Saccharomyces cerevisiae S288C: one gene and its partners. Changing the gene in region 1 together with any one later gene gives a genetic interaction. Each region holds a gene or a part of one and is shown in the gene's direction. Other genes may lie near its edges. The genes, in order: YPK2, TOR2, CDC42 and PNT1.

What was found.
Region 2: of YPK2 (region 1) and TOR2, extra expression of one rescues a mutant of the other (dosage rescue), as found in Saccharomyces cerevisiae (3 studies listed by BioGRID, with this or other methods).
Region 3: mutations in YPK2 (region 1) and CDC42 together harm fitness more than expected from each alone (negative genetic interaction), as found in Saccharomyces cerevisiae (2 studies listed by BioGRID).
Region 4: mutations in YPK2 (region 1) and PNT1 together harm fitness more than expected from each alone (negative genetic interaction), as found in Saccharomyces cerevisiae (2 studies listed by BioGRID).

Annotation. Positions count from the first base shown.
Region 1 is NC_001145.3:470,726-478,526, reverse strand, and holds YPK2 (putative protein kinase YPK2), read left to right. Parts: upstream 1-3,073; coding exon 3,074-5,107; downstream 5,108-7,801. Other genes in the region: ATP-dependent DNA helicase YKU80, read left to right, coding at 1-226; YMR105W-A (uncharacterized protein), read right to left, coding at 269-463; phosphoglucomutase PGM2, read left to right, coding at 921-2,630; YMR103C (uncharacterized protein), read left to right, coding at 5,263-5,625; LAF1 (Laf1p), read left to right, coding at 6,175-7,801. UniProt on the Saccharomyces cerevisiae protein: Plays an essential role in the proliferation of yeast cells. Involved in a signaling pathway, required for optimal cell wall integrity, that acts in parallel with the PKC1-SLT2-dependent pathway.
Region 2 is NC_001143.9:55,293-66,577, reverse strand, and holds TOR2 (phosphatidylinositol kinase-related protein kinase TOR2), read left to right. Parts: upstream 1-3,218; coding exon 3,219-10,643; downstream 10,644-11,285. Other genes in the region: MNN4 (Mnn4p), read left to right, coding at 1-2,648; EAP1 (Eap1p), read right to left, coding at 10,976-11,285. UniProt on the Saccharomyces cerevisiae protein: Phosphatidylinositol 3-kinase homolog, component of both TORC1 and TORC2. TORC1 regulates multiple cellular processes to control cell growth in response to environmental signals. Nutrient limitation and environmental stress signals cause inactivation of TORC1.
Region 3 is NC_001144.5:602,120-608,362, reverse strand, and holds CDC42 (Rho family GTPase CDC42), read left to right. Parts: upstream 1-3,575; coding exon 3,576-4,151; downstream 4,152-6,243. Other genes in the region: EST1 (Est1p), read left to right, coding at 1-938; BNA5 (kynureninase), read left to right, coding at 1,244-2,605; ECM22 (Ecm22p), read left to right, coding at 5,900-6,243. UniProt on the Saccharomyces cerevisiae protein: Involved in development of cell polarity during the cell division cycle, and essential for bud emergence. Affects signaling in the pheromone-response pathway through the STE20 protein kinase.
Region 4 is NC_001147.6:818,896-825,643, forward strand, and holds PNT1 (Pnt1p), read left to right. Parts: upstream 1-2,127; coding exon 2,128-3,399; downstream 3,400-6,748. Other genes in the region: DSE3 (Dse3p), read left to right, coding at 1-1,263; RBL2 (Rbl2p), read left to right, coding at 1,559-1,879; putative serine/threonine protein kinase HRK1, read right to left, coding at 3,693-5,972; YOR268C (uncharacterized protein), read right to left, coding at 6,639-6,748. UniProt on the Saccharomyces cerevisiae protein: Probably involved in mitochondrial export. Confers resistance to the anti-pneumocystis carinii drug pentamidine. May act by the removal of pentamidine, or its damage targets, from the matrix by an active-transport mechanism.

The DNA of each region.
Region 1 (7,801 bases):
CCCAGAGCTTCCTGACTCATTGAAAAACAAAATAAGTCCTTACACGCACAAGAAATTTGATAGCACAAAATTGGTTGAAGTGCTCGGCATCAAGAAAGTAGACAAATTAAAACTCGACTCCGAACTAAAAACTGAGCTTGAGAGGGAAAAGATCCCGGACCTAGAAACGCTATTGAAGCGCGGTGAACAACACAGTAGGGGAAGTCCAAACAATAGCAATAATTAAAAAAGGTCTAACATCCTTTGAGTTATGTTTTCGTCACCACAGTTAAAGAGAAAAAAAAATAAATAGCGGGTAAATAATTGTCATACTACTGATTTGCATTGTTACCTTGTAACTTTGAACACTAGCCATGCAGGTTGCTTTTCCTCCTTTACACCTTCCCCCCTGTCGCTGTTCAAAAGTAAATGCAACAACAATAAAACGTGGGTAGAGGACGTTCCCTGTATGTACTAAAATCATACTATCATCCGTTGAGGTCGAGCGGTTCTCTAATCTCAACACACGCTGCTGCCCCTGAGCTTGCGAGCTAAGGACAACAGGGCCAACTTGTTCTTTCTAGGGGGGAGAGGCCCAACTTAGGCTCGGTGAAGAGAAGCGCGGAGCTCACGAAAAGGGGTGGTGTCGCGCACTACTTTTTTCGTGGGGAACTTACGTGAAAGGGGACGTTATACTTTTGTTATGTGCAGTTCCAGGAACAAACAGGGGTTGAAAAGTGTAAAAGAAATAGTTGATTCTTTCAGAATCTGGATGACTGCCGCCCGAACAATGTGGGAAATATAAAAAGGTACCGTTAATATTGTTTCATTTTCGAAGATAGTGTTCCATGTCTTTCTTCAGCGTTGCTTGAACAATAGGATAATAAGAAGAAGATCAACCAATCTTTCTCAGTAAAAAAAGTAACAAAAGTTAACATAACATGTCATTTCAAATTGAAACGGTTCCCACCAAACCATATGAAGACCAAAAGCCTGGTACCTCTGGTTTGCGTAAGAAGACAAAGGTGTTTAAAGACGAACCTAACTACACAGAAAATTTCATTCAATCGATCATGGAAGCTATTCCAGAGGGTTCTAAAGGTGCCACTCTTGTTGTCGGTGGTGATGGGCGTTACTACAATGATGTCATTCTTCATAAGATTGCCGCTATCGGTGCTGCCAACGGTATTAAAAAGTTAGTTATTGGCCAGCATGGTCTTCTGTCTACGCCAGCCGCTTCTCACATCATGAGAACCTACGAGGAAAAATGTACTGGTGGTATTATCTTAACCGCCTCACATAATCCAGGTGGTCCAGAAAATGACATGGGTATTAAGTATAACTTATCCAATGGGGGTCCTGCTCCTGAATCCGTCACAAATGCTATTTGGGAGATTTCCAAAAAGCTTACCAGCTATAAGATTATCAAAGACTTCCCAGAACTAGACTTGGGTACGATAGGCAAGAACAAGAAATACGGTCCATTACTCGTTGACATTATCGATATTACAAAAGATTATGTCAACTTCTTGAAGGAAATCTTCGATTTCGACTTAATCAAGAAATTCATCGATAATCAACGTTCTACTAAGAATTGGAAGTTACTGTTTGACAGTATGAACGGTGTAACTGGACCATACGGTAAGGCTATTTTCGTTGATGAATTTGGTTTACCGGCGGATGAGGTTTTACAAAACTGGCATCCTTCTCCGGATTTTGGTGGTATGCATCCAGATCCAAACTTAACTTATGCCAGTTCGTTAGTGAAAAGAGTAGATCGTGAAAAGATTGAGTTTGGTGCTGCATCCGATGGTGATGGTGATAGAAATATGATTTACGGTTACGGCCCATCTTTCGTTTCTCCAGGTGACTCCGTCGCAATTATTGCCGAATATGCAGCTGAAATCCCATATTTCGCCAAGCAAGGTATATATGGTCTGGCCCGTTCATTCCCTACCTCAGGAGCCATAGACCGTGTTGCCAAGGCCCATGGTCTAAACTGTTATGAGGTCCCAACTGGCTGGAAATTTTTCTGTGCTTTGTTCGACGCTAAAAAATTATCTATTTGTGGTGAAGAATCGTTTGGTACTGGTTCCAACCACGTAAGGGAAAAGGACGGTGTTTGGGCCATTATGGCGTGGTTGAACATCTTGGCCATTTACAACAAGCATCATCCGGAGAACGAAGCTTCTATTAAGACGATACAGAATGAATTCTGGGCAAAGTACGGCCGTACTTTCTTCACTCGTTATGATTTTGAAAAAGTTGAAACAGAAAAAGCTAACAAGATTGTCGATCAATTGAGAGCATATGTTACCAAATCGGGTGTTGTTAATTCCGCCTTCCCAGCCGATGAGTCTCTTAAGGTCACCGATTGTGGTGATTTTTCATACACAGATTTGGACGGTTCTGTTTCTGACCATCAAGGTTTATATGTCAAGCTTTCCAATGGTGCAAGATTCGTTCTAAGATTGTCAGGTACAGGTTCTTCAGGTGCTACCATTAGATTGTACATTGAAAAATACTGCGATGATAAATCACAATACCAAAAGACAGCTGAAGAATACTTGAAGCCAATTATTAACTCGGTCATCAAGTTCTTGAACTTTAAACAAGTTTTAGGAACTGAAGAACCAACGGTTCGTACTTAAAACGAATGATTTACTAATGGCTTAATGATTTTCACCTTTTTCAATGAATATTAACGGTAAAGAAGAAAATTTCAATTTTTTGAACACATACTTTATATACTTAATAGATCCATATTTCGACATATTAGCAAACGATTGCATAGGTTTCTGAGTCTTTTTTTTTTTTTTTTCATAAGGAGGAGAATATTTTGGTTAATCGCAGTATCTTCTTCATAAGTGCTGTTTCTAATTATATCTAATTCACGAATTTTTCCCAAATTAGCGTATCCCCGAATTCAGATTACCTACCCCGAGTTTTTTATTATATTTCCCTCGAGAAATCTGTAAAATGGCCGTCATCCTTAGATTTATAAATAAAATGATAAAATTCAGCCAAAGTGCTCCTAAACCAGAATTGTTCAACTGGGTCAAATTATCGCGTATACAAATATACATATAGTAACATGCATTCCTGGCGAATATCCAAGTTTAAGTTAGGAAGGTCCAAAGAAGATGATGGGAGTAGTGAAGATGAAAATGAAAAATCGTGGGGTAATGGCCTGTTTCATTTCCACCATGGAGAAAAACATCACGATGGTAGCCCGAAGAATCATAATCATGAACACGAACACCATATAAGAAAGATCAATACAAATGAGACTCTCCCAAGTTCCTTAAGTTCTCCAAAATTACGTAATGATGCATCCTTCAAGAATCCATCGGGGATAGGAAATGACAATTCTAAGGCTTCCGAAAGGAAAGCTAGTCAGTCGTCTACTGAGACGCAGGGACCGAGTTCGGAATCCGGACTAATGACAGTGAAGGTGTATTCTGGTAAAGATTTTACTCTTCCCTTCCCTATCACCTCTAACTCTACTATTTTACAAAAACTACTAAGTTCCGGCATCCTTACTTCATCATCCAATGACGCTTCCGAAGTTGCAGCCATAATGCGGCAGCTACCACGATACAAGAGAGTGGATCAAGATTCAGCAGGGGAAGGCTTGATAGATAGAGCTTTTGCCACTAAATTCATTCCTTCCTCTATATTGTTACCTGGGTCAACAAATTCAAGCCCATTACTTTATTTTACAATTGAATTTGATAATTCTATTACTACTATTAGTCCAGATATGGGAACGATGGAGCAACCAGTGTTTAACAAAATATCGACATTTGATGTAACAAGAAAATTACGATTTTTAAAAATCGATGTCTTTGCAAGGATTCCATCCCTACTTTTACCCTCTAAAAACTGGCAACAGGAGATTGGCGAGCAGGACGAAGTACTGAAGGAGATTTTAAAAAAAATCAATACAAATCAGGATATCCATTTGGACTCCTTCCATTTACCTTTGAATTTAAAAATCGATTCTGCAGCCCAAATAAGACTATACAATCACCATTGGATTTCTTTAGAAAGGGGATATGGTAAATTAAATATCACGGTGGACTACAAACCTTCTAAGAACAAGCCTCTCTCCATTGATGACTTTGATCTATTGAAGGTTATCGGGAAGGGTTCGTTCGGCAAAGTGATGCAAGTAAGGAAAAAAGATACCCAAAAGATTTACGCTTTGAAGGCTCTGAGAAAAGCATATATTGTATCGAAATGTGAAGTGACACATACTTTAGCGGAGAGGACTGTCCTAGCAAGAGTTGACTGCCCCTTTATTGTTCCGTTGAAGTTCTCATTCCAATCTCCGGAGAAGTTGTACCTAGTATTAGCTTTCATTAATGGCGGTGAACTGTTCTACCATTTACAACACGAGGGACGATTCAGTCTAGCACGCTCCCGTTTTTATATTGCAGAACTATTATGTGCTCTCGATTCATTACACAAACTTGACGTCATTTATCGTGACCTAAAGCCTGAAAACATTCTATTGGATTACCAAGGACATATTGCACTGTGTGATTTTGGGCTTTGCAAGCTGAACATGAAGGATAATGACAAAACAGACACTTTCTGTGGTACTCCCGAATATTTGGCACCAGAAATCTTGTTGGGGCAGGGCTATACTAAAACAGTTGACTGGTGGACATTAGGTATCTTACTGTATGAGATGATGACAGGGCTGCCACCATACTATGATGAGAACGTTCCTGTTATGTACAAGAAAATTCTGCAGCAACCGCTACTATTTCCTGATGGATTTGACCCTGCGGCAAAAGACCTATTAATTGGCCTCTTAAGCAGAGACCCAAGCAGAAGACTCGGCGTTAACGGTACAGATGAAATTCGTAACCATCCTTTCTTTAAAGACATCTCATGGAAAAAGCTACTTTTGAAGGGCTATATTCCGCCTTACAAGCCAATTGTAAAGAGTGAAATAGATACTGCAAATTTTGATCAAGAGTTCACTAAGGAAAAACCGATCGATAGTGTAGTGGACGAGTACTTAAGTGCAAGTATTCAAAAGCAGTTTGGTGGGTGGACGTACATTGGTGACGAACAGTTGGGTGATTCTCCTTCGCAGGGGAGAAGCATTAGTTAGAAGCAAGCCGAAGCAAGCCGAGCCGAGCCGGACGGAATTTATAGCTATAGCCGCAAGAGGTTGCAATTTTCAAAAATGGATAGTTCAAGTAGATTGCGATACGCACTCCGTTACTATTGTGGTTAACGGGGACAAGAAGAACTACAGAAAATAGAATGGTCCGCAGAGGCTGCGCTCTTCTTTTAGCAACTCTCACACGACTTATGTTGCTTATTCATTTCTTTTACAGCATTATCAGAATTCTTCCATCTACGGAATTGAGATCAAAGACCGACCTGTTGTCGGCCGAAGGACGGACGCTTATACCCGCGGATGTCAAAGCGAAGCCCGCGGGGCGCAAGTCGAGGTTACCGGAATTCGCCAAACGGCAAAGGACCCTTGCATTGCCTGAAAGGAAAGATTCGCTTTTCTGTTTGTTGCCACTTTTCTTACATAGTCTGGGCCGGGAGCAGCTTATTTCTTCCGCGGATGATCCTGGATTTCCTTGCGCGGGCTCAGCCATGGGGAGCCTTACCTAGTCCCGTAAAGGGAAAAAGCTAACCTCATTCGCCTCACAGGGTGAAAGCGTGAACAAAAAAAAAAGAAAAGCTTAATGATTAAAATTTACAGTATATATATATTTGTATTTACGTATTAAACTATATATAAATAGATATGTATGCCGAAAAAGTAAAGTCTGGGTGATGCCTAGTCCAATCTTTCTTACTACTGTCCAGTTTCTATCGTAGCAGTTAATTATACATAGAACTGTGTAAATTCAACGCATTAATTTTTTTTTTTTTCACTTTCGCAGTTAGGGGGGACACATTTTTTTTGCCCTTTCTTAAGCTTCGTAAGCGAGTTACATCATTATTTCTTCCTGGGATACAATACGCGTTCGTACAAGTCACAGCTGGACCGTATAGGGAACAAGACTGCAACTCTCTCCAACTTGTTAAACAGAGGAGGAAAAGAAAGAGGGAAAAGAGGAACAAAGACAATCAAAGAAAAAGAATAGAAAGCAGTTGCTGAGCTCTTGGCATATTGTATACGGTAGTGGCGTATAATATAGTACGAGAATTAGAAATATGACGAATATGGCGGAGGATAAAACAAGTATAAGCAAGGTACATTCTGAATTCAGCAATTCCTCGAATACCACTGGATCTGAAGAGGAGAGTCGGTCGCATCAAGAGAGCTTCGACGGCGAGTCCAGTTCCGGTGAAAGTAAAAGTAAAAGCAAACTAAATCTTGAATATTCTGCAGATATCGAGCCATTGAAGTTCAGAATGACAAAAACTAATAATACAAATGACAAATTAAAATATAGTAACAACGGCAACGCCACTGATTCATTTATGAGACTAAAGGAACATTTACAGAGAGGCAATACTTTAAATTCGAATCTTAGGGTCAATGAGTTTTACCCTTTCAATTCCATTGATACAGAGCAATTTGAAAACTATTTGAGAGAGCCAAAATACATTAAAATGTTGAAACGTCGGAAAAACCTGAAACAATTTAGAAGATTGTTTCTCGCGCAAGAACTAATGGCCTACGAAGGTGAAACGGTTACCTCCACTTCCAAATCATCTGAACCAACCTCTAAAGCTATATGGAGTACAAAGTTTAGCCGCGATGGAAAATTTATGGCCACTGGTAGCAAAGATGGTAAAATAAGAATATGGAAAGTTATTGGCTCTCCAGTTGAAAGAGCCGAATTGGACTCGAGTGCGGAATCAAATAAAGAGGCACGAGCCAAGTCGATGCGGATCAAACAGCAGGTCAGTTCATTGAACAATCCAAAAGAAAAACAATTTTTGGATTCTGCTACAGAGAAATACGAAGAGAAGGAAAAATTATTGAATTTGTATGCGCCTGTCTTTCACCCAACGCCTTTGCGACTGTATAAAGAACACGTGCAAGATGTTCTGGATATAAATTGGTCTAAAAATAATTTTATTTTGTCAGCATCGATGGATAAGACAGTAAAACTATGGCATCCCGATAGGAAAAATTCACTTAAGACATTCATACATCCTGATTTTGTCACTTGTGTGGAATTTCACCCCACCGACGATAGATTTTTCATTAGCGGCTGTCTGGATCACAAATGCAGGTTATGGTCTATACTGGATGATGAAGTTAGCTTTGAGTACGATTGTCAAGACTTAATAACATCTGTTACATTATCCCCTGAGGAGGGAAAATACACTATAATAGGAACATTTAATGGATACGTTCATATTCTGATGACCAGAGGTCTCACTCCAGTTTCTTCATTTCACGTAGCTGATAGACAAACACAAGAACAAAACGCTCACGTCATGGTCACGGAAACTGACTCAAAAATTCGTCATGGTCCACGTGTGACGGGTTTGCAAGCTTTTAGATCTCAACTGGACAATTCTTTCCGCTTAGTAGTTACATCGAATGATTCGAGGATAAGAATTTTTGACTTAGAACAGAGGAAGCTTCTAGAGGTATTGAAAGGCTTCCATAGCGGATCTTCCCAACACAAGGCACAATTGTCCATCTGGCATGGTCAGCCAATCGTTGTAAATAGTAGTGATGACCATTGGGTTTACGGCTGGAGGTTAAAGTCTTCGGATAGAGAGAATGATCAAGACGAACCTAAAAGGAAACCAAAGGGATTGGCTCGGTCCGGAAGTTTGAGAAGCATATTTAGTAAATCAATGAGTAGGTCTTCCAGCC
Region 2 (11,285 bases), on another chromosome or scaffold:
CACTATCCATTTCCATCATCGAATCAGATAATTCCACGTATCAAGTCCCCTTGCAAACTGAAAAATCAAAAAACTTGGTGCAATCCGGCCTGTTGCAGGAATATATTAATGATAACATTAATTCTACGAACAAGAGAAAGAAAAATAAACAGGACGTAGAATTCAACCATAACAGGCTTTTCCAGGAATTCGTCAATAACGACCAAGTTAACTCCCTATACAAACTGGAAATTGAAGAAACTGATAAATTCACTTTTGATAAAGATTTGGTTTATTTATCCCCTTCGGATTTCAAGTTCGATGCCTCCAAAAAAATTGAAGAGTTAGAGGAACAGAAGAAACTCTATCCGGACAAATTTTCCGCTCATAATGAGAATTATCTGAACAGTTTGAAGAATTCCGTAAAGACAAGCCCTGCATTGCAAAGAAAGTTCTTCTATGAGGCTGGTGCCGTGAAGCAATATAAAGGTATGGGGTTCCATCGTGACAAGAGGTTCTTCAATGTTGATACATTAATCAATGATAAACAAGAATACCAGGCTAGATTGAACTCAATGATCAGAACATTCCAAAAGTTTACTAAAGCCAACGGCATCATATCTTGGTTGTCTCACGGAACGCTGTACGGCTATCTTTACAATGGAATGGCTTTCCCTTGGGATAACGATTTCGACTTGCAAATGCCCATTAAGCATTTACAATTGCTCAGTCAATACTTCAACCAATCTCTTATATTGGAAGACCCAAGACAGGGTAATGGACGTTATTTCCTAGACGTCAGCGACTCCTTGACAGTAAGAATTAACGGTAACGGTAAAAACAATATCGATGCAAGATTCATTGACGTCGACACCGGCCTTTACATTGATATTACCGGTCTAGCTAGCACTTCTGCCCCTAGTAGGGATTACTTGAATTCTTATATTGAAGAGCGGTTGCAAGAGGAACATTTGGATATCAATAATATCCCTGAATCGAACGGTGAGACCGCTACTTTGCCCGACAAAGTAGATGATGGGTTAGTCAATATGGCTACACTAAACATCACTGAGCTACGTGATTACATTACCAGCGACGAAAATAAAAATCATAAAAGAGTCCCCACTGATACTGATTTGAAAGATCTTTTGAAAAAGGAACTGGAAGAGTTACCAAAGTCTAAGACCATTGAAAACAAGTTGAATCCTAAACAAAGATATTTTCTCAACGAAAAACTTAAACTTTACAATTGTAGAAACAACCATTTTAACTCGTTCGAGGAACTATCTCCCTTAATCAATACTGTTTTCCATGGTGTGCCAGCGTTGATTCCTCACAGACATACCTACTGCTTGCACAATGAATATCATGTACCTGATAGATATGCATTTGATGCTTACAAAAATACTGCTTATTTGCCCGAATTTAGATTTTGGTTCGACTATGACGGGTTAAAGAAATGCAGTAATATTAATTCATGGTATCCAAACATCCCCAGTATTAATTCATGGAATCCGAACCTCTTGAAAGAAATATCGTCTACGAAATTTGAGTCGAAACTTTTTGATTCCAACAAAGTCTCTGAATACTCTTTCAAAAACCTATCCATGGATGATGTTCGCTTAATTTATAAAAATATTCCAAAAGCTGGCTTTATCGAGGTATTTACTAACTTGTACAATTCCTTCAATGTCACTGCATATAGGCAAAAGGAATTGGAAATTCAATACTGCCAAAACCTGACATTTATTGAAAAAAAGAAATTATTACATCAATTGCGCATTAATGTTGCTCCTAAGTTAAGCTCCCCTGCAAAGGACCCATTTCTTTTTGGTTATGAAAAAGCTATGTGGAAGGATTTATCAAAATCTATGAACCAGACTACATTAGATCAAGTTACCAAGATTGTTCATGAAGAATATGTCGGAAAAATTATTGATCTGTCCGAAAGTTTGAAATACAGGAATTTTTCACTTTTCAACATTACTTTTGATGAAACTGGAACAACTCTAGATGATAACACAGAAGATTATACTCCTGCTAATACTGTTGAAGTAAATCCTGTGGATTTTAAATCAAATTTAAACTTTAGTAGCAACTCCTTTTTGGATTTAAATTCATATGGTTTAGACCTTTTTGCGCCAACTTTATCCGACGTTAACAGAAAGGGTATTCAAATGTTTGATAAGGACCCTATTATTGTATACGAGGACTATGCTTATGCCAAGTTACTTGAAGAAAGAAAGCGGAGGGAGAAGAAGAAGAAGGAGGAAGAGGAGAAGAAGAAGAAGGAAGAAGAGGAAAAGAAGAAGAAGGAAGAAGAAGAAAAGAAAAAGAAGGAAGAGGAAGAGAAGAAAAAGAAGGAAGAAGAAGAGAAGAAAAAGAAGGAAGAAGAAGAAAAGAAGAAGCAGGAGGAAGAGGAGAAAAAGAAGAAGGAAGAAGAAGAGAAGAAGAAGCAGGAAGAAGGAGAAAAGATGAAGAATGAAGATGAAGAAAATAAGAAGAATGAAGATGAAGAAAAGAAGAAGAACGAAGAAGAGGAAAAAAAGAAGCAGGAAGAGAAAAACAAGAAGAATGAAGATGAAGAAAAGAAGAAGCAGGAAGAGGAAGAAAAGAAGAAGAACGAAGAAGAGGAAAAAAAGAAGCAGGAGGAGGGGCACAGCAATTAAAAGTCGGAGAACCTGACTGAAAATTCATGAATCTCTTCATTTCTATAGCCTTTCCTCTATGCATTTGTATTATATATTTATTACCGTCATTTTTTACATACTGCTGCATTTTGGCGCCAGTGATAAGTGGCAAACAATTCGACGGAATCGTGGTAATTATACCACGTTACTCTATAACATCATGATATTGCAATTAATCAAACATACATTTAATCTTAATGCTATTAGCTTACTACAACTCTTTTCTTTAAGTTATATCGTATATTTCTTGGGCGATGTCAGAATATTTACCCGGATATTCCTTTTTAAGCACTGAATATGTTTGAATAGAGACTGACATATATGGCAGCAATTAAAATTGGAAGAAATGTAATGACAGTAGGAAAGACCAATTTTTATCATCGTGACACCAATCACTTCCTTAACTGAGCTTTACTTGTATTTATTTACAGGTAGATTAGGAGCAGTAGAAAGGGAAAATATACCGGGTGCATAAAGAGCATAGTCATTAAGATCAAATAGTTATCTTTCTCAAAGAGATTTCTGATCTTTACTTTCCCCATATGAAAAATGAATAAATACATTAACAAATACACCACGCCACCTAACTTATTGTCTTTACGACAAAGGGCCGAAGGCAAACACAGAACAAGAAAGAAACTTACACACAAATCGCACTCCCACGATGATGAGATGTCAACTACTTCAAACACAGATTCCAATCACAATGGGCCCAATGACTCTGGTAGAGTGATCACTGGTTCTGCTGGTCATATTGGTAAAATATCCTTTGTAGATTCAGAACTAGATACAACATTTTCTACTTTAAATTTGATTTTTGATAAACTTAAAAGCGATGTGCCACAAGAACGAGCCTCTGGCGCTAATGAATTAAGCACTACTTTGACCTCATTAGCAAGGGAAGTATCTGCTGAGCAATTTCAAAGGTTTAGCAACAGTTTAAACAATAAGATATTTGAACTTATTCACGGGTTTACTTCAAGTGAGAAGATAGGTGGTATTCTTGCTGTTGATACTCTGATCTCATTCTACCTGAGTACAGAGGAGCTGCCAAACCAAACTTCAAGACTGGCGAACTATTTACGTGTTTTAATTCCATCCAGTGACATTGAAGTTATGAGATTAGCGGCTAACACCTTAGGTAGATTGACCGTGCCAGGTGGTACATTAACATCAGATTTCGTCGAATTTGAGGTCAGAACTTGCATTGATTGGCTTACTCTGACAGCAGATAATAACTCATCGAGCTCTAAGTTGGAATACAGGAGACATGCTGCGCTATTAATCATAAAGGCATTAGCAGACAATTCACCCTATCTTTTATACCCTTACGTTAACTCTATCTTAGACAATATTTGGGTGCCATTAAGGGATGCAAAGTTAATTATACGATTAGATGCCGCAGTGGCATTGGGTAAATGTCTTACTATTATTCAGGATAGAGACCCTGCTTTGGGAAAACAGTGGTTTCAAAGATTATTTCAAGGTTGTACACATGGCTTAAGTCTCAATACGAATGATTCAGTGCATGCTACTCTGTTGGTATTTCGAGAATTACTCAGCTTGAAAGCACCTTATCTCAGGGATAAATATGATGATATTTACAAATCTACTATGAAGTACAAGGAATATAAATTTGATGTTATAAGGAGAGAAGTTTATGCTATTTTACCTCTTTTAGCTGCTTTTGACCCTGCCATTTTCACAAAGAAATATCTCGATAGGATAATGGTTCATTATTTAAGATATTTGAAGAACATCGATATGAATGCTGCAAATAATTCGGATAAACCTTTTATATTAGTTTCTATAGGTGATATTGCATTTGAAGTTGGTTCGAGCATTTCACCCTATATGACACTTATTCTGGATAATATTAGGGAAGGCTTAAGAACGAAATTCAAAGTTAGAAAACAATTCGAGAAGGATTTATTTTATTGCATTGGTAAATTAGCTTGTGCTTTGGGCCCAGCTTTTGCTAAGCACTTGAACAAAGATCTTCTTAATTTGATGTTAAACTGTCCAATGTCCGACCATATGCAGGAGACTTTAATGATCCTTAACGAGAAAATACCCTCTTTGGAATCTACCGTTAATTCGAGGATACTAAATTTACTGTCGATATCCTTATCTGGTGAAAAATTTATTCAATCAAACCAATACGATTTTAATAATCAATTTTCCATTGAAAAGGCTCGTAAATCAAGAAACCAAAGTTTCATGAAAAAAACTGGTGAATCTAATGACGATATTACAGATGCCCAAATTTTGATTCAGTGTTTTAAAATGCTGCAACTAATTCATCATCAATATTCCTTGACGGAGTTTGTTAGGCTTATAACCATTTCTTACATTGAGCATGAGGATTCGTCTGTCAGAAAATTGGCAGCATTAACGTCGTGTGATTTATTTATCAAAGACGATATATGTAAACAAACATCAGTTCATGCTTTACACTCGGTTTCTGAAGTGCTAAGTAAGCTATTAATGATCGCAATAACTGATCCGGTTGCAGAAATTAGATTGGAAATTCTTCAGCATTTGGGGTCAAATTTTGATCCTCAATTGGCCCAACCAGACAATTTACGCCTACTTTTCATGGCGCTGAACGATGAGATTTTTGGTATTCAATTGGAAGCTATCAAAATAATAGGCAGATTGAGTTCTGTCAACCCCGCTTATGTAGTTCCTTCTTTGAGGAAAACTTTACTGGAACTATTAACGCAATTGAAGTTCTCAAATATGCCAAAAAAAAAGGAGGAAAGTGCAACTCTATTATGTACGCTGATAAATTCCAGCGATGAAGTAGCGAAACCTTATATTGATCCTATTCTAGACGTCATTCTTCCTAAATGCCAGGATGCTTCATCTGCCGTAGCATCCACCGCTTTAAAGGTTTTGGGTGAACTATCTGTTGTTGGAGGAAAAGAAATGACGCGTTACTTAAAGGAATTGATGCCATTGATCATTAACACATTTCAGGACCAATCAAACTCTTTTAAAAGAGATGCCGCCTTAACAACATTAGGACAGCTGGCTGCTTCCTCTGGTTATGTTGTTGGCCCTTTACTAGACTACCCAGAGTTACTTGGCATTTTGATAAATATTCTTAAGACTGAAAACAACCCTCATATCAGGCGTGGAACTGTTCGTTTGATTGGTATATTAGGCGCTCTTGATCCATATAAGCACAGAGAAATAGAAGTCACATCAAACTCAAAGAGTTCAGTAGAGCAAAATGCTCCTTCAATCGACATCGCATTGCTAATGCAAGGGGTATCTCCATCCAACGATGAATATTACCCCACTGTAGTTATCCACAATCTGATGAAGATATTGAATGATCCATCGTTGTCAATCCATCACACGGCTGCTATTCAAGCTATTATGCATATTTTTCAAAACCTTGGTTTACGATGTGTCTCCTTTTTGGATCAAATTATTCCAGGTATCATTTTAGTCATGCGTTCATGCCCGCCGTCCCAACTTGACTTTTATTTTCAGCAACTGGGATCTCTCATCTCAATTGTCAAGCAACATATTAGGCCCCATGTCGAGAAAATTTATGGTGTGATCAGGGAGTTTTTCCCGATCATTAAACTACAAATCACAATTATTTCTGTCATAGAATCGATATCTAAGGCTCTGGAAGGTGAGTTTAAAAGATTTGTTCCCGAGACTCTAACCTTTTTCCTTGATATTCTTGAGAACGACCAGTCTAATAAAAGGATCGTTCCGATTCGTATATTAAAATCTTTGGTTACTTTTGGGCCGAATCTAGAAGACTATTCCCATTTGATTATGCCTATCGTTGTTAGAATGACTGAGTATTCTGCTGGAAGTCTAAAGAAAATCTCCATTATAACTTTGGGTAGATTAGCAAAGAATATCAACCTCTCTGAAATGTCATCAAGAATTGTTCAGGCGTTGGTAAGAATTTTGAATAATGGGGATAGAGAACTAACAAAAGCAACCATGAATACGCTAAGTTTGCTCCTTTTACAACTAGGTACCGACTTTGTGGTCTTTGTGCCAGTGATTAACAAGGCGTTATTGAGGAATAGGATTCAGCATTCAGTGTACGATCAACTGGTTAATAAATTACTGAACAATGAATGCTTGCCAACAAATATCATATTTGACAAGGAGAACGAAGTACCTGAAAGGAAAAATTATGAAGACGAAATGCAAGTAACGAAATTACCGGTAAACCAAAATATCCTAAAGAATGCATGGTATTGTTCTCAACAGAAGACCAAAGAAGATTGGCAAGAATGGATAAGAAGGCTATCTATTCAGCTTCTAAAGGAATCACCTTCAGCTTGTCTACGATCCTGTTCGAGTTTAGTCAGCGTTTATTATCCGTTGGCGAGAGAATTGTTTAATGCTTCATTCTCAAGTTGCTGGGTTGAGCTTCAAACGTCATACCAAGAGGATTTGATTCAAGCATTATGCAAGGCTTTATCATCCTCTGAAAACCCACCCGAGATTTATCAAATGTTGTTAAATTTAGTGGAATTTATGGAGCACGATGACAAACCATTGCCTATCCCAATCCATACATTAGGTAAGTATGCCCAAAAATGTCATGCTTTTGCGAAGGCACTACATTACAAAGAGGTAGAATTCTTAGAAGAGCCGAAAAATTCAACAATCGAGGCATTGATTAGCATTAATAATCAACTTCACCAAACTGATTCTGCTATTGGTATTTTGAAGCATGCGCAACAACACAATGAATTGCAGCTGAAGGAAACTTGGTATGAAAAACTTCAACGTTGGGAGGATGCTCTTGCAGCATATAATGAGAAGGAGGCAGCAGGAGAAGATTCGGTTGAAGTGATGATGGGAAAATTAAGATCGTTATATGCCCTTGGAGAGTGGGAAGAGCTTTCTAAATTGGCATCTGAAAAGTGGGGCACGGCAAAACCCGAAGTGAAGAAGGCAATGGCGCCTTTGGCTGCCGGCGCTGCCTGGGGTTTGGAGCAATGGGATGAAATAGCCCAGTATACTAGCGTCATGAAATCGCAGTCTCCAGATAAAGAATTCTATGATGCAATTTTATGTTTGCATAGGAATAATTTTAAGAAGGCGGAAGTTCACATCTTTAATGCAAGGGATCTTCTAGTTACTGAATTGTCAGCTCTTGTTAATGAAAGCTACAATAGAGCATATAATGTTGTTGTTAGAGCGCAGATTATAGCAGAGTTGGAGGAAATCATCAAATATAAGAAGTTGCCACAAAATTCAGATAAACGTCTAACTATGAGAGAAACTTGGAATACCAGATTACTGGGCTGTCAAAAAAATATTGATGTGTGGCAAAGAATTCTGCGTGTCAGATCATTGGTGATAAAGCCAAAGGAGGATGCTCAAGTGAGGATTAAGTTTGCCAACTTATGCAGAAAATCGGGTAGGATGGCGCTAGCTAAAAAAGTCTTAAATACATTGCTTGAAGAAACAGATGACCCAGATCATCCTAATACTGCTAAGGCATCCCCTCCAGTTGTTTATGCACAACTGAAGTACTTGTGGGCTACGGGGTTGCAAGATGAGGCTTTGAAGCAATTAATTAATTTCACATCTAGAATGGCTCATGATTTAGGTTTGGATCCAAATAATATGATAGCTCAAAGCGTTCCTCAACAAAGCAAAAGAGTCCCTCGTCACGTTGAAGATTATACTAAGCTTTTAGCTCGTTGTTTCTTGAAGCAAGGAGAATGGAGAGTTTGCTTACAGCCTAAATGGAGATTGAGCAATCCAGATTCGATCCTAGGCTCCTATTTGCTCGCTACACATTTTGACAACACATGGTACAAAGCGTGGCATAACTGGGCACTGGCCAATTTTGAAGTCATTTCTATGCTAACATCTGTCTCTAAAAAGAAACAGGAAGGAAGTGATGCTTCCTCGGTAACTGATATTAATGAGTTTGATAATGGCATGATCGGCGTCAATACATTTGATGCTAAGGAAGTTCATTACTCTTCTAATTTAATACACAGGCACGTAATTCCAGCAATTAAGGGTTTTTTTCATTCCATTTCTTTATCAGAATCAAGCTCTCTTCAAGATGCATTAAGGTTATTAACTTTATGGTTTACTTTTGGTGGTATTCCAGAAGCAACCCAAGCTATGCACGAGGGTTTCAACCTAATCCAAATAGGCACATGGTTAGAAGTGTTGCCACAGTTAATTTCTAGAATTCATCAACCCAATCAAATTGTTAGTAGGTCATTACTCTCCCTATTATCTGATCTAGGTAAGGCTCATCCGCAGGCATTAGTGTACCCCTTAATGGTTGCGATTAAATCCGAATCTCTCTCACGACAGAAAGCAGCTTTGTCCATCATAGAAAAGATGAGAATACATAGTCCAGTTTTGGTCGACCAGGCTGAACTTGTCAGCCACGAATTGATACGTATGGCGGTGCTTTGGCATGAGCAATGGTATGAGGGTCTGGATGACGCCAGTAGGCAGTTTTTTGGAGAACATAATACCGAAAAAATGTTTGCTGCTTTAGAGCCTCTGTACGAAATGCTGAAGAGAGGACCGGAAACTTTGAGGGAAATATCGTTCCAAAATTCTTTTGGTAGGGACTTGAATGACGCTTACGAATGGCTGATGAATTACAAAAAATCTAAAGATGTTAGTAATTTAAACCAAGCGTGGGACATTTACTATAATGTTTTCAGGAAAATTGGTAAACAGTTGCCACAATTACAAACTCTTGAACTACAACATGTGTCGCCAAAACTACTATCTGCGCATGATTTGGAATTGGCTGTCCCCGGGACCCGTGCAAGTGGTGGAAAACCAATTGTTAAAATATCTAAATTCGAGCCAGTATTTTCAGTAATCTCATCCAAACAAAGACCGAGAAAGTTTTGTATCAAGGGTAGTGATGGTAAAGATTATAAGTATGTGTTGAAAGGACATGAAGACATTAGACAGGATAGCTTGGTCATGCAATTATTCGGACTAGTTAACACGCTTTTGCAAAATGACGCTGAGTGCTTTAGAAGGCATCTAGATATCCAGCAATATCCAGCAATCCCATTATCTCCGAAGTCTGGGTTACTGGGTTGGGTACCGAATAGTGACACGTTCCATGTATTAATTAGGGAGCATAGAGAAGCCAAAAAAATTCCTTTAAACATTGAGCATTGGGTCATGTTACAAATGGCACCTGATTATGACAATTTAACGTTGTTGCAGAAAGTAGAAGTCTTCACTTACGCCCTAAATAATACGGAGGGACAAGATCTTTATAAGGTGTTATGGCTGAAGAGTAGGTCATCGGAAACGTGGTTGGAGCGTAGAACTACTTACACTCGATCGCTAGCCGTGATGTCCATGACCGGTTATATATTGGGGTTAGGTGACCGCCACCCTAGTAATTTGATGTTGGATAGAATCACTGGGAAAGTCATTCATATTGATTTTGGTGATTGTTTCGAGGCTGCTATATTAAGAGAAAAATTCCCCGAAAAAGTACCTTTTAGATTAACTAGAATGTTAACATATGCAATGGAAGTGAGTGGAATTGAAGGTAGCTTCCGTATTACTTGTGAGAATGTTATGAAGGTACTTAGAGATAACAAGGGTTCATTAATGGCAATCCTTGAAGCTTTTGCTTTCGATCCTTTGATCAATTGGGGTTTTGACTTACCAACAAAGAAAATTGAGGAAGAAACGGGCATTCAACTTCCCGTGATGAATGCCAATGAGCTATTGAGTAATGGGGCTATTACCGAAGAAGAAGTTCAAAGGGTGGAAAACGAGCACAAGAATGCCATTCGAAATGCAAGGGCCATGTTGGTATTGAAGCGCATTACTGACAAATTAACGGGGAACGATATAAGAAGGTTTAATGACTTGGACGTTCCAGAACAAGTGGATAAACTAATCCAACAAGCCACATCAGTGGAAAACCTATGCCAACATTATATCGGTTGGTGTCCATTCTGGTAGTTTTAATGTATTGAAAATCACTTAGTTGTATATAGCCTGTAAAAGTGTTGTATAAAAATGCATCTCATTCATTAATGTTTAGTTCCGAGCGTGACGTTACTAACTGCGAAAAAAGTTCCTTCGACTAGTAAATATCAAAGGCGAAAACATAAGTATATGGGAGAATTATAACAAGTTAAGTGATGATGATAGGATAAGATAATATAGGATACATGTTATATACAAACTCTAGATAATAAAGATGAAAAATGAAAAGGAAAAGAACATGCTTTTAGATAGTATGTTCACTGTGTTTTTGTCGTTTCCTGTCAAGTACTCGCTCGTTACGCATCTCATTTTATATTCTTTTTAGAGTTTAATCCTGGTGGTAACTGGTTTGTAACATTTTTGCCATTGGCATTAATAATAGATGGAATTGGCATAGGGGAGTTACTACCAAAACCTTGCTGGAAATTAGGGGGGAAATTTCCTTGTAGCATCATATTTGGATAAGGTGGCTGTGGCTGTTGTCCTGTTACCGGTAACATACCATTTGGTGGGATTGGGAACCCCTGTGGTAATGGTGGCATTGGGCCGTTAGGAAAGTTAGGATGCATTGGAAAAAACCCTGGAGGTGGGGGTGGTGGCATGTATTGCTGTTGA
Region 3 (6,243 bases), on another chromosome or scaffold:
AGAACAAACTCAAATATGCAGATTTGAGTGAGCGCCAGGTTTTTTTTTTAGACTTGAGCTTTGATTTTATTGCTAATATCATAGACGTCGTCATCAAACCCTCCTGGCAAAAAAACATGGAAGACTTTCGATATCTAGCCATTATTCGTTTGCTTATGTGCTGGATTAAGTCATATAGATCTATTTTGCAGTACACTCACAGACACAGGAAGTTTTGCACTTCATTCGCCTTGTTGCTGAACGACTTGATAAATAGTCCACTGAATTGTTCAGGAAATATATATAGCCACAGGCCGAAAAGAAGCTATCTTTTTAGAGAAGATATTATTTTCAGGGAATTTTCTTGCATTAACTTTGCACTAACAGATTTTAATGACGATTATGTGTATGATTCTCCCGACATGATTAATAATATAATTGGATGCCCTACATTGACTAAAGTGCTTTCTCCAAAAGAAGAATGTGTTCTGCGAATTAGATCAATAATATTTTCTGGCATGAAATTTTTAGAGAAAAATGACACCGGCGTCATATGGAATGCCAGCAAATATAAGTTTGATTTAATAAGCCCAAATATTAAAATAAAACGCCAAATAGCATTATCGGAAATTTCCTCCAAAATAAATGTAAAAACACAACAGGAAAGAGTAGTCTCTTCGAGAAAAGTTGAGGCCAAAAGAGATGAACAACAGCGCAAAAGAGCCGGGAAAATAGCTGTGACAGAACTGGAAAAACAATTTGCAAATGTCCGGAGAACAAAAAAATTGTCTCCGCTCCCAGAAAAAGATGGCGTTTCTTCTGAGTTGGTAAAACATGCTGCTTCACGAGGGAGAAAAACTATCACTGGCCCACTATCCTCTGATTTTCTCTCATATCCAGACGAAGCAATTGATGCTGATGAGGACATCACCGTCCAAGTGCCAGATACTCCTACTTGAGAGAACAAGTAATGGTGAGGGAAAAAATCATAATATGAAATATATTATGACGACGTCAATTAACGTCGTCCACGCCTGTCGTCGTCAACCCACGAAAATATGGGGGCGGTTTTTATAACGGTTATTAAAACGACGGGATGCCGTCTACGGCACGGACAAACCCATCGCTTTGGAAATAGGTGACTGCGCTTGAAAAACATAATTATTTATTAGCATAATAAATTCAAGACAGCAAATATATATGCTGTCAATACGTACATATTAAGCCTAAATATTCTGTGGAAAAAAGAAACAAACTGGTAATTATGGAGAAAGCTTTGGAATTAGACGGAGAATATCCGGAATCTCTGAGGGATGAATTCAACATCCCTACATTTAAATCCATGGGACTATCGTCCGACGATAAGCCTGTGACGTACTTATGCGGGAATTCTTTAGGTTTGATGCCGAAGTCAACTAGGAATTCAATTAATGCTGAGCTAGATGCGTGGAGCGATTGTGCTGTGGAATCGCATTTCAAACATCCTGAAGAAGCCAGAGGAAAGGTGCCTTGGGTCAGCATTGACTTACCTATTCTTCCACTACTAGCCCCCATCGTGGGTGCTCAAGAAAATGAAGTTGCAGTAATGAATAGTCTCACTGCAAATTTGAATTCATTGTTAATTACGTTTTATAAACCTACTGAGAAAAGATTCAAGATCCTTTTTGAAAAGGGCTCCTTTCCATCAGACTATTATGCTTTCTACAACCAGTGCAAAATTCATGGAATTTCGGAACCTGAGAATGTTTTTATTCAGATCGAGCCACGCGAGGGAGAGACTTATATCAGAACTCAAGATATCCTGGATACCATAGAGGTAAATCAAGATGAATTGGCGCTGGTCTGTTTGTCAGGTGTTCAGTATTACACGGGGCAATATTTCGATATTGGCCGAATCACCTCATTTGCCCACCAATTCCCCGACATATTGGTTGGATGGGATTTAGCACACGCTGTAGGGAACGTCCCATTGCAACTTCATGATTGGGGTGTTGACTTTGCCTGTTGGTGTTCTTACAAGTACTTGAATGCCGGGCCTGGTGGAATTGGTGGCTTATTTGTCCACTCGAAGCATACTAAACCAGACCCTGCTAAGGAAAGTTTGCCAAGATTAGCTGGTTGGTGGGGCAATGATCCTGCTAAGCGATTTCAAATGCTGGAAGTATTCGAGCCGATTCCAGGAGCATTGGGATTCAGGCAATCTAATCCAAGCGTTATTGACACAGTGGCATTGAGAAGTTCATTGGAATTATTTGCGAAGTTTAATGGTATTAATGAAGTTCGTAAAAGATCGTTGTTGCTGACGAACTATATGACGGAACTGTTGGAAGCCTCCAAGTATTACAAACACCCTTTAAGGATCGAGAAATTACCATGTTTTTTTACAATATTAACTCCAACAAGCACAGATGAAGAACATGGCGCCCAATTGTCACTTTACTTCGATTCTGACACTGGAAAAGAGGATATTATGCCCAAAGTTTTCCAATATTTGCATGACCATGGTGTCATTGGCGATGCAAGAAGACCAAACGTAATTAGATTGGCTCCTGCTCCCTTATATAATACATTTTCAGATGTATACATTGCGGTGAATGCACTAAATGAGGCGATGGATAAGTTGTAGTCCTAGAGTGACCGCATCGCCTTCATCTTCTTTTGGATATTATATATGACGTAGTTTGAAATTCGTATACTTACTGATAGCGAACCTATAAATTTATACTTTCTTTCCAAGAATTAAAATAAATATCTGGGCCCGTGTATTACTTACCAGTTGCCGTGCATAGTCGTGAATCTTCTTTCATTTATCAACCTTCTTCCAATAATGAAGCTAACTTATCAGTGGTAGTACTGTTGAACGAAACAAGCCGGAACTCAAAAGGGTAATTTCGTGAAAAACAATCATCTACGGTATAAATAACAATTTAATTTACGTCTCTTTCGAAAATGCTCGTGTAGCTCAGTGGTTAGAGCTTCGTGCTTATAGCAACATTCGGTTTCCGAAGTTTCTGTGCCAAAGACCTTTCAAACAGGCCTTTAAAAGCAACGCGACCGTCGTGGGTTCAATCCCCACCTCGAGCACTTTCTCTTTTTTTTTTAAAAAAAGTTGCATTATTTCTATCAACTGTTGTAGCTACGTTACACCTAATTTTGTATTGTAGACTGTTAGATAATCCACATATACAGGTAAATACGGCACATTGTCTTCTAAACATCGCATTAAAGATGTCTTCCACCGTCGATTCAAGGGTCATTCAATACGGGTAATACTGCTTCCATTGGGCCCTTCCAAATGAAACAAGATACGGGAAAAAGTGATAAAAAAAAGCAAACAAGGTTGATTGATCGATGATAGACGCGATTCTTGGAAAAGGCAAGAGCAGCGTTTTGATAAATAGGTTCCAGGTGTACCGAGATATACTGATTATCCTTCTCTGTCATTCTTCACTTTTTGCAATAGGTTTCCTTTGTCGCAAAAAATTATATTCGTTATTTATTATACTATTCTATTTTCCTGAGGAGATAGGTTAACAAACGAATTAGAGAAGCAAAACTTATAAAACAAGAAATAAACGTATTAGCTCTTCCACAAAATGCAAACGCTAAAGTGTGTTGTTGTCGGTGATGGTGCTGTTGGGAAAACGTGCCTTCTAATCTCCTATACAACGAATCAATTTCCAGCCGACTATGTTCCAACAGTGTTCGATAACTATGCGGTGACTGTGATGATTGGTGATGAACCATATACGTTAGGTTTGTTTGATACGGCCGGTCAAGAAGATTACGATCGATTGAGACCCTTGTCATATCCTTCTACTGATGTATTTTTGGTTTGTTTCAGTGTTATTTCCCCACCCTCTTTTGAAAACGTTAAAGAAAAATGGTTCCCTGAAGTACATCACCATTGTCCAGGTGTACCATGCCTGGTCGTCGGTACGCAGATTGATCTAAGGGATGACAAGGTAATCATCGAGAAGTTGCAAAGACAAAGATTACGTCCGATTACATCAGAACAAGGTTCCAGGTTAGCAAGAGAACTGAAAGCAGTAAAATATGTCGAGTGTTCGGCACTAACACAACGCGGTTTGAAGAATGTATTCGATGAAGCTATCGTGGCCGCCTTGGAGCCTCCTGTTATCAAGAAAAGTAAAAAATGTGCAATTTTGTAGTCATATTAGTATATGCCCATCTTTTCTTAATCTATATCTAAAATTAACTTATATATACACCTTCCTATCCTTTTATTATCGTTGTATTTCATTTTTTCGCTTTGCTCAGAGTTGATTCTCTTTGTTTCTTGCGCCAGGATCATCCGTCTGTTCAAGGCGGAGTAGTGCAAAAAAGTCGAGCCGTCAAGCCCCAAACGTTCAATACTTCCATGTTCTTCAACGCTAAACGCGACATTTGCGAGTCCTACCACGTCTTCTCCGTTTACGGGCAAAAACACCTCTTAACATCAAAAATTTGGCTTTCGTGCTTTTTTCTGAAATATATTCGTTGCATAGACACGGTATGCATATGAAACATTCAGGCTAGCAATCAATACTTAAACCCTTTACGGGCGTGCATGATGTATCAGGAAACCAGTTTGAGAATGTCGCCCACCAAGCTCCATGGAAAGGCGCAAACCAATTACGCGGAACACAAAAATGGGCCTTTTTTTGATCGCCTCAAAGGCCGGACCAGGTTCGTTAAACGTCTGTAGAGGTGCCGAACAATTTTTGTCTAGAATAAATTTCCATTTTTCTGGCATTTAATTCTAGGCTTTCTGGTCTCTTTGTTCTTGCAGCTAGCCCATTGGGTGCTCTTCAAAATATGTCAATATCACCTTGATTTTGAAAATGCGCCCGTAAAATTGGACTTATGCTACAAATATATTCTACAGGAAAAGATCCGCAAGGTCTGCTTTAGCGTAAAAACGACCTCCCAGTATTTTATATAACCTCAGCCATTTCACTGAATGATACATAGTAGCATATATAGCTAGGCCTAAATGTATTTTTTTTTACAACTTTTTAGATCGCTGCGTGAAGGATGAAACTTCATATGAGTACGGACGTTTGAAAGGGTAGAGTGGCGCTAGCATAGAAATGCCATTTCTCGGAGGTGTCATCATTCGAAAAGAACTCAATTTTCAAGCGATTGAGATTCAAAGGCAAACCGATGCCTCCTCATTGGTCACATCTTCATGTAAACTGTGGCTGCTTTTTTTTCTAAATACTCTATGACTACAGCTTTCCTTTGTACAAACTCAAGTTTATTTAATCGTCTTTTTTAATGTTTATGTTCAACATACCCGAAACCACTACAAGACGGAAAATACTAGAGAAACATCAACAAATGAAAAAAAAAGGCTACAATCCTCGGATGAAACTGATAAAAACGAGCACAGTATATGCCGAGTCGTAGCATTTAACGTACTAACACTACTCGCCAAATCATAAGAGCTTCATGCTGACGTGTGTATCTATATCGCTTTTACAGATCCTGCAACCGACAGAGCCGAAAACGTAATTGGTGACTCGTTCCTCGTTCTTGTCGGAAAAATTTAAACGAGCGCGTTCGATAAACTCAACGAAGGCAAGTTTGAACAATAGATGTTGGTCGTAATCATTCGTTCTTCGACTTTTATAGCCTTTTTTTTAACTTAACGAACTCGTACTATCTAATAGTTTATTTCCCCTTGTTTTTTTTTGTTACGATTGGGGAAAAGCAAGGGTTCCCTGCGTCTACGATTACATCATCTACTAACTAGTCACCGAAATCGATTATCGTCGAAGGAGAAGCAACCAAGACCTCCACTTTTCAAAGGCACAAATAACATTTCGCCTTTACATAATATAGAGGAGTTAAGTCGACGGTTTTTTTCATTTAAGGTTTATATTTCGTTTATCCATAGATCTCCATCTAACATAACATGACATCCGATGATGGGAATGCTGGACAAGAAAGAGAGAAGGATGCTGAACTGATTGAGGTTGGGGGCAAGAAAGTGAGCAAGACTTCGACAGGGAAACGGAAGTTTCATAACAAGTCCAAGACCGGTTGCGACAATTGTAAAAGAAGAAGAGTAAAATGTGATGAAGGCAAACCATTTTGCAAGAAATGTACAAACATGAAATTGGACTGTGTTTACAGCCCTATTCAGCCAAGAAGAAGAAAAGATTCTTCGTCGTCAAAATTTGCATCAGCGGTCCACGATAGGGTAGGCAAGAAAAATCTGAGTGACAATGCCATCATGTTACAACAACAACAACAGCA
Region 4 (6,748 bases), on another chromosome or scaffold:
GAAAAGAATGTTGATGCAGTCAGACCATCTTCGCTAACATTAACAGCTGATGACTTGAAGTATATTCCACCGATACCACAAGATTTTGAAGATGAAGATGATAAGGTTTTACGTACCAGCAACGGTGGTAACAGGTTGTCTAAAAGATTTGGGGGTACACTGAAACTGAAGAAACGGTTAGAGTCTGTTCCAGAATTGTTCTTACATGATTTCAAGAAGAGGCCACGCTCCCAACTTGAGGTGATTAGAGAGAAAAAATTTACTGACATGCAAGTTCCCAAGGGACCAGTTTGTCCTCAAAGCACGATTCTACCATTACGAGAAAGAAAGAAGGTAAAATCACTACCAATTCAAAGAAAAAGTTTACGTAGGCCGACGCTGTCAAAGCCTGCAGTAGTACAATCTTTAGGGCATAAGACACATTCGGATCATATTATTGATAAAGTGTTTGTCTCTCGCCCGGCCCCAATTGTAATGCCTGTAAAAGCCCTTACTCCTATTAATCCGGTCTCCCTAATGCAAACACAGACACAAGATTGCTGTAGAAAAAATAAGTATGGCAAAAGCGGTAGTGAAATATTGTTTGACGAAATTCTATCAGCCTATGAAAACGTTTCTACAAGCGATTCTACTGCCCTAAATTCAGAAATTGACAGAATTATCGATATATGCGCTTCAAAACAAATAGCTAAAAAAAATGAGGCATTTCAGGTACCATATGTCGTCTGCCCTGACGACACAGAGACTTTGTTTTCGTCAACAACACCAAAGTTGAAACCTGTCAATTCTAACACATTAAACGATGTCATTTCTAGCCCAGAATACACCACGTCTGGATGCAGTACATACTCTGACCAATCGAATTCAGATGAGGAATTGTCCGAAGTAGAAAGTATAGTATGGAACACGAATAAGAGGACAATGAGATCATCCATTGTGTCTGAAAGCACTAGTGAGGAAGGCTATTGCACTGCTGCGGAGACTTTGCCCTCAACAGTATCAGTGGAAGATCTGGATATACATAACAAGCTTCCAAAAGTTGCACAAACATCATCGTGCAATACGCTTTTGAATAAACTCTCTATAAGAAAATTAAAAAAAGTAATTCTCGATCCGCCTAAAATAATGCATGTCATGACTTTTGACGATGACAGTGATGATGGAGATGACAACGATGACGAGGATAGGGCTTTGAATATTCTTCAAAAAAAAATTGACTGCATTGAAATAGCAAGTTGCAGCAGTAGCATTTACAGCGAATAAAAAAATTTATTCTAGGTTTCAAGTAAAATCATACGTATATAAGTAGAATAATGGCATGAGCGGTGACACATTGTGTATTTGCACCAGAGGTGGTCATCAATAGAAAAGTGTCACAATTTCAACGATAAATGGCCGCTTATGTCGCACCTTTTGTAGTATTACCCGCAAAGGATCATAATGAAGAACTACTATGGCTACATATAAACAGAGCAGTTAGATACAGTGCGTCTTATAAGGGCATTTTTGAGCATAAAGCACAACAGGTTGAACTCAAGAAAACTACATTTCACTATCAATGGCACCCACACAATTGGATATAAAAGTCAAGGCCTTGAAGAGGCTGACTAAGGAGGAAGGGTACTACCAACAAGAACTGAAAGATCAGGAAGCACATGTGGCAAAACTTAAAGAAGACAAGTCAGTTGACCCATATGACTTGAAGAAACAGGAGGAGGTCCTTGATGACACAAAAAGATTATTACCTACTTTATATGAGAAGATTAGAGAATTTAAAGAGGATTTAGAACAATTTCTAAAAACTTACCAGGGTACCGAAGATGTCAGTGATGCAAGATCCGCTATTACGTCTGCACAGGAATTACTCGATTCTAAATAATCTATAGATAACCTTTTTCTTACCTTTTCGCATTTATTTTGATGCAGGTTTTTATACTTTATTATGTACAAACCTGTTGCGGATGAATAATAAATCTCGCTAGAAAATGCACGGAATATTATATGCAAAAGTAGAAAAGTGGAAGACGGCTGTTGATACAGTGACGAGATATAAGAACATTTTACTCTATATTTAAAAAGAACTTTATTAATCTATTTAATTGAGTTAACACCTTTAATGCCATCGATATGGATTCTCGAGTTGCACTGGTACGAAAATACATAGCACCATCGGTGATAAAAAGCGATTCTATTCAATTGCACGGTTTAGTGAAGGCACCACTATTTAAAGCGTTGAATAGCCGTTACAAATTAGGTTCACTACAGATAGTACAGGATGTCGATTGGAATGCGAAGACAACACCATCCGATTCTCCAGAGCCTCTGGCCGCTACTCTAAACTCTAATCGATCCCTACCAATGACTAAGTTCCCCAAGCAGGAGATCTTGGAACAGGTAAAATTGGATACTAAGGTTGGCAAATGGAGGAAATTCATGACAGGTTGGTTTAGAATTGGATTGTATCTTTTAAAAAGCTATAAAACAGGAATTCAGAACACGTTAAAAGTATTCTGGGATACTCGAAACGAAGAGCAGAAATTCAGCATAAAAAACGGTGCATTGGCTAACTTAGTACGGGAAATAGAAATGCATGAAATCAATACAAGACTATCGTCTTCATCATTGCCTACAAGTTCTTCAGCAAAAGCCCCATTAAGGCCACTTTCAATCAATAGGAAAACACTGGTGGAACTGATCAGACGAGATCAAATCTGGAAATTACCTGTATTTTTCACCTTAGTATTCATATTTGAGGAGGTAAGTGTATTGATCTTTACCTTTTTTCCACGTGTCTGTCCGTACAATTGTTTAACTCCTGGTGGATACAAGAAGCTTTCCAACTCATATATCAAGGGAACAACAAGCACACAAGGTAACTACGGTCTGGGTCCCTTAGAGTTTACTAAGCAAGGTACAATTAAGTATGAGCCACCATATGCAGTTCCTATTGAGAATTTGTATAATTTTCTGACAAGCTTTCCTCAAAGTATGATATCAAACTGGAAACTGTATATTTATAAAAAGTTAAAATTACAGAAGCTACTTTGCAATGAGATAGAAAAAATTTACCAGTATCTGTTTATCGATGACTGGTTGCTGTTGCAGAGTATACTCAACACTGATGTTGAGAAAACTAAAATCGCGCTAAGTGATAGAGAATTGGTTAACTGTATACTTGAAAGAAAACTTTATCACATGGGCGATGACTTGAATGAGATGGTTAATGACACGTTAGGGAAAGAAATCTTACTGAAAAGATTGTTTCTTTATTGGACATTAAGATATAATGACACTATATCCTTAAACGGAAAGCATACATTCAGTGAGAAATGGGGTGTCAACAATATATCATTGTTAAAATATAATTCAGAATTGGTAGCTACGAAAGATATTCAATAGATGTAAATATTCATGACATTATCTATGCTGTACATATTGTTTAAAACAAAAACTCTTTTAAACTTTTCTAATTGCAAATTCAAACAATAATTCAGTGATGTTTCTTGCTTTTGGAGCAAAGGGCAATGTTACTCTATATTGTATGTATAATATGATAGATACTCTTCCGTATATATAGTATATAGATTTTCGTCAAGCGTTTCAATTGGAAAGTGAAAGAAAAAAATAAGAAAAAATAGAAAATACAATTAAATTAATCGAAAAAAGAAGTGAAAATAATTGAGTAGTTCGTATTAAACCTTGTAGGTCTCTAAGTGAGCATTTTCCTCCCTAACCAATGTATGGTGATGGCCAGGCGCTCTAATAACTTTATTTTTTGAATCCATGGTACAGGCAGCAATGGCGGCAAACCATTCATCATTAAAAATATCATCTAAGGTTGCTCTTTTCTTTGGATCTACTTGCAGTATACGGGACATGATAGGTCTTGAAGCATGTGGTAGTAGACGTAATAGACGGTATGGGCCATGAATAATTTTTTTATGGTGAGGTCCTCTGTGCTGTTGACTCGATTTATTATCGGAAGCGATACTATGGGCCTTGTCTTGATTTTGATGCTGGTGATGATGGTGTTGTTGTTGTTGTTGTTGTTGTTGTTGTTGTTGTTGTTGTTGTTGTTGTTGTTGTTGTTGTGGATTGTTTTGGGGAACCATATCAGGGTTAGCGTTGGCAGCAGTGTTGACGTTAGTATCAACTTTAGCGTTACAATCCGATTCATTGCTGCAGTCATTGTTAGCATTACAATCCGTTTTGTCATTGCAGTCACTGTTAGCCTTGCAATCCACTCTGCCGTTAGAGTCACCATTAGCATCGCAATCAGCGTCGGCATCGGCATCTACTTTCTTTGGGTTAGCTGAAACTACCGTGCTTTTATTCTCATTTTTGCTTATTTTAATATCGATGGTACTTTCCTTGTCATTATCTGGCGTGCTTTCTTTATCATTATTGCTATCATCTTCTTTATTTTCTTCGGTTTCTTCTTCCACAATGTCTGGTTTGTTATCGCTTTTACCCTGTATAGATGCTGGAGTATTTGGAACTTGATTTTGAACTGTTTTCAAGTTTGATTCATGAGCTGGTTGTTGCTGATTGATGGCGGAACAGTCACTGTGATTCAAAAACCTTTGACGCTTTTCTTTTCTTTCCTTCAGTAACTCTTCGTGATGCCTGGCAGATTCAACATAGTCGTGTTCTATATCATCCGGCATACAATATAATCTAAAATTATCGTCAGAATCTCTAGGGGCTTTCCATGGAAACCTTTTAAGCACCATACAACAATATATGATCCCAATAGACCATATATCGACGCACTGAGGATCATAAGATTTGGTGGAGGTAATCACTTCCGGCGCTAAGTAAGGGTCACTACCCACGATTCCATGAGCCATCGTTACGCCATCTTCAAAAGGATATCTGAACACAACAGCACTACCAAAATCAATTAATTTCAAAATACCCTGGGAAGTCATGACACAATTATCCAATTTCAAATCTCTATGTGCCAATCCCATAGAATGTAAATATTTAACACCTTCAGTCAATTGCTTCAAGCAACAGTTGATCTCGCCACGAGACATCTTGCCTGTCATAACAACAGCAAAAAAATCAATCGGACAGTACTCCATAACTTCATAGTATTTATTTTGTTTAGAATCAGAGAAAACGTCAACAGTTTCGATAACATTTGGGTGATGTAAAGTCGAACCAATACAAAATTCTGCGGTGCACTTCTTGGCATATTCTTTCACACTCTCATTCGGTTTCCTTGGTCTGAATTCTTTGACGGCAAAAGTAGCACCATCAGTTGGTCTCACAAGAACTTTAACGGACCCACCGGCACCGGAACCCAATAACTTACCCAATTTCCCGTATTTTTGAGCCAGAATACAATCATCGTGATATATATTAATATTATTGGACAAAGATAGGATAGAATCGGTACTTGGCGGTATAGCAGACTGGGTATGAGCATAGTGGTCTGTAAAGCCATGAGGATGCTGGGCACGATAGTGATTATTTAAATTAACTGTAGAAGTTGATTTTGAAGGTGGGGGGGAATGGGTGCTATGTTTCTTGGAACGAAGTTGAGACATAGATAGTTTTTTATTTACAGAAGGTCTGAAAAACCTTTTCAATTCTGCCATGGAGTGGGTTTGTTTTGGAGAGGCGGGAGAAGTATAGTCATGGAGCCCATGAGAAATATTATGGTGGTGGTTTGTTTCATAGTTATTATTGTAGTTGTTTGTTGAGATACTGGTTGCATTAGAATGGCTATGGGTGTTGTTATTAAGGTTTGTTGTAGTATAATTTGTAGTGGTTGTGGTAGATTTCATGGAATCTGTAGATTTCTCGCTTCTTAGTGAGTCATTACTTTGTTTTCTACCAATGAAGTTTAAGAAAGATTTAGAACTTCTGATCAACTGTGGCGGGTTATTAGACGAATTTTCACGGTCATGATGATGGTCATTATGATGACCATGGAATGGGTTTCTCGACAATAGATTAGGCATCTTTATACGAGAAATAGTTCTACCGTATTATTATAATTATTAGTGTTATTATTTTTGTTTTCGATCAATTCTAGCGGAGCTACAATGTGGTAGTCAAACGCTGCTATTGTATTTAATTCCGGCTCGAGACCAGTCTGGAAAGTCGACGTATATCGTTACTACTATCCTTTTTTTATTATTCCTACTATTTCCTTATTGAAAAAGTGGAAAACTGTTAAATCTGGAAATTCTTCACGATTCTAGAAAAATAGGAGGTGAAGAAGATTTCTAAGCTTTTTGAAAAAAACGGGAAAAGGAAGAGGCCCAAAAAAGTGAAAAAAAACTGTGTGTGTGAAATGTAAACGAACTTTGCTCCCTCTAGGAAAAACTTCTTTAAGCGGTTGGGAACTGTCTTGGGCTTACTTGTTTGTAAACAGTTGTATGAATGATTCTATATGCTAATTCTCAGTTTGTCTCTCTTAAAGATTTGTCACTCTGAAATATATAGCCAAATAGAACTAGGCGAAGAAAAAGAAAAGGGGCGGCGACGACGTAGGGGTCAGGTAGAAGAGTTGGGCACTTATTGGCGATATAAAAGACAAAATACACTAATGCAAGAGTATGGTGAGCGAAAGGAAAATAAAGAAAGGCTACGTTATTGACGGATATATGAATCAAGACACAAGACTATTTTGTATAGTAAGCAGAACCGGCTTGTGTTTGTGATTCATGGATCAACGAGACGGTAGCGAATAAGCACCAACGGAAAAAAAGAAAACATACGCATACATGCACGT